Linked DNA regions of Schizosaccharomyces pombe. The protein of the gene in region 2 interacts with the protein of the main gene of each other region in a pairwise test. Each region holds a gene or a part of one and is shown on either strand. Other genes may lie near its edges.

What was found. The genes of interacting proteins can lie anywhere in the genome.
Region 1: the proteins of tho5 (region 2) and tho4 interact in a two-hybrid assay, tested with the Schizosaccharomyces pombe proteins (one study listed by BioGRID).

What each region holds. Positions count from the first base shown.
Region 1 is NC_003423.3:400,454-404,871, reverse strand, and holds tho4 (THO complex subunit), read left to right. Parts: upstream 1-2,506; 5' UTR 2,507-2,522; coding exon 2,523-2,567; intron 2,568-2,608; coding exon 2,609-2,677; intron 2,678-2,730; coding exon 2,731-2,855; intron 2,856-2,872; exon of another isoform or gene 2,873-2,961; coding exon 2,962-3,028; exon of another isoform or gene 3,029-3,188; coding exon 3,189-3,707; 3' UTR 3,708-3,918; downstream 3,919-4,418. Other genes in the region: SDA1 family protein, read left to right, coding at 1-610; gid9 (ubiquitin ligase complex subunit), read right to left, coding at 850-1,314, 1,365-1,886, 1,949-2,176; plg7 (1-alkyl-2-acetylglycerophosphocholine esterase), read left to right, coding at 4,188-4,418.
Region 2 is NC_003423.3:753,982-759,141, reverse strand, and holds tho5 (THOC5-like protein), read right to left. Parts: upstream 2,566-5,160; 5' UTR 2,483-2,565; coding exon 2,169-2,482; intron 2,086-2,168; coding exon 1,797-2,085; 3' UTR 1,577-1,796; coding exon of another isoform or gene 1,396-1,576; 3' UTR 1,347-1,395; coding exon of another isoform or gene 1,191-1,346; 3' UTR 1,141-1,190; downstream 1-1,140. Other genes in the region: 1-phosphatidylinositol 4-kinase Stt4, read left to right, coding at 1-667, 721-734; meiotic recombination protein Rec27, read left to right, coding at 1,100-1,140, 1,191-1,346, 1,396-1,576; SPOM_SPBC577.03C (GCN5-related N-acetyltransferase), read left to right, coding at 2,859-3,045, 3,119-3,582; rpl3801 (60S ribosomal protein eL38), read right to left, coding at 3,958-3,992, 4,172-4,358, 4,488-4,490. UniProt on the Schizosaccharomyces pombe protein: Component the THO subcomplex of the TREX complex, which operates in coupling transcription elongation to mRNA export. The THO complex is recruited to transcribed genes and moves along the gene with the elongating polymerase during transcription.

The DNA.
Region 1 (4,418 bases), 350 kb from region 2:
AGAAGGAGAAAATGGAGACGATTGGGATAATTGGGAAGTTTCAGAAGATGGACAGAATTCTGATGATAGTGGTGGCTGGATCGATGTCGATAGTGATGACAATATTGAATTAAGTGACAGCGATGAAGAGGAAGAGAAGGCCACTGCAAGAAAAGAATCAGATGAGAAAGGATCTTCTTCACAAAAGGAACTAGTTGATAGAATGACCGAGCTTGCGTCTCAATCTATTTTGACACCTAATGACTTGAAAAAGTTGGAAGAGCTTAGGGAGCAAGCGGGTGTTGATCGTCTCGTCAATGGACCTAAGCGTTCTTTAAAGAGGCCAGACGATGCCGTTGAGGCTGATGAAATTGAAGGTCCTAGAAAAAAGGCTAAGAACGACCGAGAAGCCCGTATTGCTAGTGTCATGGAAGGACGTGAAGGACGTGATAAATTTTCATCTAAAAAGGCAGGTTTTAACCCAACAAGTCTTTCTAACAAAAGAAAACAACGTAACAAGAACTTTATGATGATTAAGCATAAATTAAAAGGTAAAGCTGGACGAAGTCTTGTTCAAAAGCAAAAAGTTTTACGAGAACACGTAGCTCGTGAAAAAAGGAAAATAAAGTAAGATATTGATTACTATATTCGGTTTATGCTTTTCCTTTTGGGGCATCTTATATAGGTATATTTAATTAGGTTTTGGGTTTACATGATTGAGGGATAACCTATGGTAAAGGTGGATACTGGAAGTGAATTTAATAATATAAATTACTATCATTATTAAAGATAAACATATAAATCTCGTAGCGTCATCATAAAAAGTGTAAATCCTTAACTCACAGAAAATGCGTTATAGAATAAACAGTATCAAACCACATAAACTTTACGAAGAAGTTGGAATGGAAACTCTTTGCCAGAATAAGGGTCTCTAAGAAATCCTTCTCTAGTCCCATTAGCTTCGTTCCAACTTATGAGGCTCTGGATACCATAAACTCGACCGTTCGGGAAAGCAACAGGACAATTGTCGCTGTCAAGTCCTTCGCCTGTCAGAGAATCCACTATCGCAGACTGAGTAATATGGGCATAAGGAAGAGCTTTGCCAAGGTCATTTAAGCAGGGCGTACATACAGGGCATTGTTTCACAGTCTGGGATTGTAATGCTAAAGGATTATCATCATTCGCGTCAAGATAACACAACGGGGTTTTCAGGGAAGATAGACCAGCAGCTAACAATGCATGTAAAAGAGGTACAGACGGTATATTATGAACGGCAGTAAAATTGCTGGTAAACAAGGAAGCCAAATATTCCCATCGGTCATCGGATAGAAGCAACTAATTTGTCAGTATAAGCTAAGAGCAGAGGTCTCTCAATGTAAACTTACCGAATATGGTGAACCATTCGTAAATTCAGGAAAAGCTAGTAGGGCAGCCGCTAGCTGTAGTCGAGCAGGATGTTCATTTGCCCAAGTACCGAAGTGCGCTTTGGCGAATGCAATGGCTTGGCAAAGTTTTTTACTTTTTATTAATTCTATAAATCTCTGTAGTCGGACCTCAAGCTCTAATGTACTATTATTTTTTTTTAAAATTGCTCGATGCTCCGAACACCAAGACAAAACCTCTTTGAGCTCCTGTTGAAGAATGGAATCGTGAATGAGCTGATAACGCTTATATATGCCTAAATCAACCAAATTCTCCAACTGAGAGTCTTTACAAAGTAGAGCAGCTGCCCCATGGTACCCATTCGCCATCATATAATCAGCAACTAAACGATTCAGTCTGACTCTTGACCAATCTAAAAAATCCGCAGATTCCATGTCACGAATTCCTTGAAGACGATTCATGAACAACAGTCGTGACTTAGTTTGCTTGATAAACAGAGCTTCACAATCATGCAAATGCTTCATCTACACAAAGAACCATGTAAGTTACAAATATCCAACTCAAAAAAAGAATCAATCAAACTTACCTTCTTCTTTACAGTACTGACTCTTGAAAGGAGAGAATCTATTTTTTCTATTTTTTCATCCATTGATGCATTCTCTTGACTGATCAACGTTGTCAATGTGGAATTGATCACATGCGATTCATGCTCCAAGTGCCGCAAAATGTGTTTGAAGTTAATGCGCAATTGCTCAAAAGAGAGAAGAATACCAGGCTTTTCAAGTATATATTGCTGCTCTGGACGAAAATTCATGTTTGAAGGCAAAGTCTAACAAACTATTGGTAGATGGACCCAAAAATTTAAATCAACTAAAGAATATTGAATATTTTAAGAATAAGAAAGTAATTAGAAGAATTTGTTTAAATGTAAGGAAAACAGCAATTGCAGAAAGACGATGGGTTGTTGGCGAAAGATACACTTTCTAGGACCGTAGTGCAAGATGAATGAAAAATAAGGAGAGCTAAAAAACAATAAAAAAAGAGGTGCATATATTAATTTATGTCAGGAAAATCTGCAATTGGTATGGAAATCTCCTTTTTGGAATGCCCCGGGTTAATTTTTACCAGTCGACATTTTCGTGCCAAGTACCAATTTTCAAATGTCGCTGGAAAAGTCCTTGGACGAAATTATAAATGAAAGAACGGTAAATTTTTTTATTTTCGATATTTGTTTTAACAATCCTAGAATGGTTTTGATCACAAGCACAGTCGGCGAAGGGGATCTCAAAATCGTATTTCCAAAAAATCGCGATTGGTATGCTAATTTCGAGGATTAAGTGTTTATTTACTAATTTTTTACTTTTTAAGACCTACAAATTCAAAAGAGCATCAAAAGAACACAACTCTAGTCCAGACGATGGCCCGTGGCAGCATGACTTGGATCAAGAGCAGGATGCTCATCCAAGGACCACTCACCTACAGAAAAGACAACAGTATGTTTTGAATTTATAAGATAAGCTGTAAACTTTTTTATTACTCTATTAGCTCTTAGTCTACATGCACTGTTATTATCATTATATACTAACACAGCAATCTTAGCTCAGAAAATCGATTTGGGGTTCGTGTGGAAAACTTACATTATCAGGTTTTGGAAAAAGATGTTTTGGTAAGTGATATATGTTTACTATGTTTTCAAAAGCCTCGCTTTTAGTTTTCGATTGAAGATTATGAAACGAACCTGACAAAAAATCTCCCTGTCAAGCTAAGTAGAGCTTTGTTCCGATTTCGAATCGCTTTTTTTATTAATAAACTAACCTTTTCTTAAGTCTTTGTTTGAAAATTTCCATCCAATTCGCGTGATTATGAACTATGATCGTGCAGGTCGCTCTGAAGGCTCCTGCGATGTTTACTTTGAAACTTCCCAAGATGCTGAAGATGCCCAGAAGACGCTTCAATCTACGAACTTGAAGGGCTCCGAAATTCAAATTTCGAAAAAGTCTCCACCTTCCTTATTCGATCGGATTTCCGACATGCCACATTCAGCCCGCAAACCAAGCCGGTCTTCTCGTTCGAACCGAGGATTCAACCGTTCTTCAAAAAAAGACGACAGATCATTTCGTTCTTCTTCAAAAAAGTCTTCTAATAATTCAATTTCACACGAAGATTTAGACAAAGAACTTGACGAATACGCAATGTCATTTCACGCTGCTTCAACTGTGTCATCTCACTCATCACAGGATTTCACACCGTCAATAGCCAATGCTCATGAGAAAAACGAGCCTGTTGCTCCTTCAAAAGATAGTAATTTGACCGAGGAGATGGACCTCCAAATGGAAGCGGTTTAAGCTCGAATTGCTGTGCAAGTAACCCTTTTCCTATGCCAAAAGTTGATTATTGAGTCAATTGCTTTGATTTGTACATTATAAAAACGAACCGGCTAAAAGGACATCTTTCATCATAACCCCTTACTTTATATATAGATGCTCGTCAATTTCCATCGTCTTCCTTCTTCTACCACAATCGTACGAATCGTACCAAAAATTAAAATTTGCAGCAGACAGATTCATATTACCTTGCAAGGCCAAAAATTTATTAATTTTATTTTTTTTATTTATGTTTATAAGTGCTTGTTAACGAAAGAGATATTTTGTTTTTGTTTCTGGCATTATTCCATTCTATTCCTACTACAGTGATCATAGCAATTAACAATACATCATCACTGTGCTCTTGTAATTTGATTGAATCGTTTTTGACACAATCTTTCATTCTTTAAAATAAAATAAATTTATATATTTCTACATTACATTCTTATTTGTTAGGTAGAAATGGGATTGGGATTTTCTTCGAAAAAGCAATTACCTGCCTACTGTGGTCCCTTGCCTGTGGGGTCTTTAGTCTTAGAGCTGAGTGTTCCAGAGGAATTTCGATGTGAATATAAAACCATTGAACACAAACTAAGAACCGTAAAAGTACGCATTTTTTATCCATTGGACCCAACAAAAGATGTAGAGCCTCGCACCGATGAGCTTTGGTTACCATTCCATGAGGGTATACCC
Region 2 (5,160 bases):
GACGTTTATCTTTTTCCTTATCGAGTTACTGCAACTAATCCGGGCTGTGGTGTTATTGATGTTTTACCAAATTGTATTTCACGCGATATGCTAGGTCGGGAGGCTGTCAATGGATTGTATGACTACTTCCGCACAAAGTTTGGTGATGAAGATTCTATAGCATTCCAAAAAGCCCGTAGTAACTTCGTACAAAGTATGGCCGCTTATTCAGTTATTACATACTTATTGCAATTTAAGGATAGACACAATGGAAATATCATGATTGACGACCAAGGTCATATTTTGCATATTGATTTCGGTTTTATTTTTGACATTGCTCCTGGAGGTATTACCTTTGAGAGTGCACCTTTTAAATTGACAACAGAGATGATCGCTGTTATGGGAGGCAGTAATAAATCGCAGCCATTTCAGTGGTTTCAAGAGCTTTGTGTCAAAGCATTCCTTGCCTGCAGACCTTATGCCCATTATATATGTCAAGCTGTGGAGGTTATGTTGGATTCGGGTCTTCCTTGTTTTAAGGGGCAATTAACTATTACTCATTGCCTGGAGAGATTTGCTTTGAATTTAAATGAACGGCAAGCATCTACATTTATGCTTCATTTGATTGAGCAGAGTTATGCAAACAAACGTACGCTTATGTACGATCAATTCCAGAAGGCCACAAATGGTAAGATGATTTTAAGCAATATAAATGAGCAACTAATTACTAACTTTTTTAAGGTATTCCTTATTAATATAAAACAACCAGCAATAATAATTATTATCCGTTTAAGTACCTTGCAGCTAAGTTTATTAGATCTAATATAACGATCATTCAGTCATAATAGTTTCTTCTGCAATGTCTTTTTTGTATTGTAGTACGATAATTTATCACATTAACTATTGAATAATGAAACGCGTTTACAGGTATCGCATTGTCAAGTATCTGTTGTATATTTTAGCATATGGCAACTCACTCTTGTAAAGGCTTTATGAATGTTAATTTAAAAAAAAAACAACTTCAAATAACTAGGTATGTATTTTTGAGTCATTTGCTGCCTGCCATTTTTTACTAGGATATAAATAAATTATGGTAACTTTCCTTCTAACAAATACGAATATGAAGAAAAGATCAGAAACATTAGGCTCGGATCAATCTAGGTATGAAAGTAAAGGGAAAAATAATTATAAACGTATACTAATTAAATCAGCTCTGAAATAATTGAGCATGTTTTGGAAGAGTTAAACCTCAAAAACATTGAAAGACGCGTCAAAAAGTATGACCAAATTGAAAGCGAATACAAGACCAATATAGAAAATGAGAAAAAGGCTTTTATAAAGGATGTTTCCCAGGTTCAACAGAAAATGTACGAAAATAAAACGGTAATCCTGGCAGTCATTAACATCAAATTATAGAAAGGAATTTGAGATACAAAAAGCGAATCAAATTAAACAATTGAACGAAGAAAAGCTTTCTATAGAAGCTAGAAAACAACAACTCGAAATCGAAATACGCAATCAGTTGTTACAGTATGCCGAGAAACTGCGAATTGTTGTTAAAACCCCAATGAACCAACCAACAAATACAGAAGTATAAAGTCATTTTAAACACATTATATAAACTAGTGCCATAAAATCATAAAACGAATTAAAAATATGTTATGAGCATACAATTTAATTGAAACTTCAAACTTGAGAATTGAAAAAGTAAAGTGAGGCTAATCGTTTCTAAAAATCTAAATCCGTTCTTTTTATTAAACGCTAAAAAATGGGTAGTAAATGAAATGAATAAACACATAAGTTTTCATGGGAATAATTTACATGGAGGTAATGTTATAGTACTCCTGGACAGGCACGCTGGAGCGAAGGAAAGTCTGCAGCTTTTCATCTCCTTTCTGCAATGCATTCCTCTTTGCTTTATTTTCAGATATTAATGCAGCTTTCCTCTTTAAAAGTTCCTGCTTTAAGGTGGAAAGTCGTTGACGTTCTTTCAGTTCGTCTTCAAGAATCGCAAGCATTAGATCATGATCATTCGAACTCTTAAATTCCGGGTGTTCCTTCAAAAATTCTTCTTTTGAGACGAGTGGTAACGCTGTGTATATATGTCTATTAAAATGGTTAGAAAGAAATGAACAAAGACTTTTGAAATCTGAAAAAAAAAAAAAAAAAGGTAAGGAACTTTCACGTACTCCTTTTCTTCGTAATTTTTTATTATCGTTTTTAAATGCAGCTTTTTGTACTGTAACGCCTGAAGCCGTATACGGGCGTTATCGAGTTCAGACTTGTGTTCGGCTGTTATAGTCTTTGCTTGTACGAGCTGTTCGTAAGATTTTCTATTTGCTTCTCGCAAGATTAAGAGCTTTGACATTAACTGTCGTTTAATTTGCTCGGGATTTTGATCGTCGGCATCTCTGCTATGCTGTTTCAACTCATGAATTCGCAAACACAATGTTCGAGTTGAGTCAAGAACGTTCAAACAATCTGATATTGCATTTTCTGTCATTTTTACGACGAAATACTACTCTTTCTTGGAAATTTTGTAGGAGGAGGTTTCCAAATTGTTTAAAAGAGTAGACGTTTGGGCTTAACTCGTCAACTCAGTATAGCTACGCCTTTACTACCATAAAGGTTAACTGACTAAAACTAACTTCTTATAAGTTGAGCCTTGAATTTATTGTATATATTTGAGAGATTTTCGTTGAATGTCTTTTCAATCAGAGTTCTCGTAAAACTATTTTACTAAACATCAAATCACGTTTTTTTTATCCGTTGCATATATTCAACTTCACGGTTCGGTATCATTTTGATTGATACTGTAAACATTTGGAATAAGTGAGTATTTGGCTATTGAAGAGTCGGTAAAAAAAAGTGTGCTTTCAATGAAAATTAATCAAAATACTACTGTTGATTGCGGCAACTTGATTCTCGTGCCATATCAAAAATGCCATGTGTTAAAATACCATAACTGGATGAAAAATGAGGAATTGCAAGAGCTTACTTGTTCAGAGCCTTTAACTCTTGACGAAGAATATCAAATGCAGGCCTCATGGAGTACTGATGAAGATAGTATGTTATGATGGTTCAACATTCGTGATTGATCAATTGCATCACAAGTTCTAATCATTTTCTAACGATATAGAGCTGACGTTTATCGTTTTACTAAACGAAAACGATGAAGCTAAGAAACCTTCAATTTTGGATCATGTAAAAGCCCACAGCGTTGAATCAATGATTGGGGATGTGAACATGTTTTTGACTGAGGAATACGCAGACGGTATAGAAGAATTTGATGATTCTCCCAGTGATGCTAATGCTACCAATGCTACGAAGGAGTCAGAGGTACATATAGTAGGTGAACTTGAATTGATGATTGCAGAGCCTCAGAATAGAAGGAAAGGATATGGAACCAAGATTGTAGATGCATTTTTGCACTATGTTGAATCCAGTGGAATTGCCAAAAATAAGCAAATCCTTAAGTATCGAGTCAAAGTTGGCTCCCAAAACAAGCCTAGTATTCGGCTATTCAAGAAATTGGGCTTCTCTCAAGTTAAGTACAACGCTTATTTTGATCATGTAGAGCTTGAACTAATGAGGACTTCATAAGCGATGCAACAACGCTTAAAGTTATTTACTTGTTTACTTTATGCAAGTGTTACATGCAGCGAACTACTTTAAAAGGGTTTATTAAAAATTGTTTTCTACACAACCCTATGGCTAATTATACCTCTCATCTCGCAACAACAATTATTTACATACAGACCTTTATTTTATAATCGCGAATTGGGTCTGCTTATAAAATTCGTGAACAACTTGGATAATTTCACCGATTTCTACTCTTCGATTTTTACATTACATTACAAAATAATATGAATACAATCTTTATTGATCATTTTACTTTTGAAAAAGAAAATTTTTGTTTTTAACTGAATGCAAAAACCATGAGAGGTTTCTTTTTCATTAATCACTCAACCAGAAACTTTATGCCTTCTTTCCAACCTCAGTAACGGTCAAATCTATAGAAAACTTGTTAGCTTGAGTTCACTTATATGAACGATTAACTCAGAGCTGATCATTTGTTTCACGAATTATCAACGCTTTAGGAAGAATTCCTTCGCAAAATGCTTTAAGGAAATGTAGTTCCCTCAATAAAAAGTAACTGAGTTAATCTTTCTTAGTAGTTTATATAACATACCGGGAGGAAGAGATTGACGGAGCTTCTCAGCCTTCTTGGCGTCAGCGACAACCAAGGTATACAAGTACTTGGAACAACGAAGCTTGAACTTAACGTCCTTGTTAGTGTTCTTCTTGATGCGGGCAGAAGTAGCATCCTTTCTGCGAGCGATCTCCAAGAATTGCTTAATGTCACTGATTTGACGAGGCTAAAACATGCATTAGTCGATGGTCATTCCTAACACTGAATATATTTTACAGAGACAACTTTAACGAACGAAAGATGAAAACAGTTTTCTCTTCCATAAGCTGCTGAAACCTCTACTTATCTCACTTACCATTTTGTTGAGCTTGGTGAAAGACCAAGAATTCATTCTTTCCAGTTTATCAAAATTTCTGTGACTGTGTTTTACAACTCGAATGGTTTGTAACTCGTTAAAAAGAAATTACGAGCTCTTAATCAGCCGGTATTCGCTCAAGGGGATTAACACTATCCTTCACTATACTGCTTGAATGGGCGTTAGATTGAAGTTCGTTTTTTAAATTGCTTAGCTCAGGTATATACTAAGTGTACGTGATAATAAAATTAAAAAAAAATAGAATAAGAGATGGTCAATATTTATATCTTAATCTATAGTTAATACTTTAATTTTTCCATGCATAATGTTTTTGGAAATTGATAGATGAAGTGTAACAACAAAGAAATGTTTTCAATAGATTTACATATCCATTTGCTATATCTTTTACATCTTTCTATTAGGATCAAACGACTTTATGCTCTTCGTTTTTGAAAACTATATTACATCAATTGCGAAAAAATAGATTTTTACAATAAAATGCTTTCATCCTATCCAAATGTGGATCAAGGCTCTATCTGTCTGTCTACAAAGTATTAACAACATAGCAGCATTCTTGTGAATTATAAAGATAAAGCATACTAACTACTACATATAGAGGAAGTTTGATTTATATGAGCGTGCTTCTATACGAATTTTTTGTTCCACGACGGAA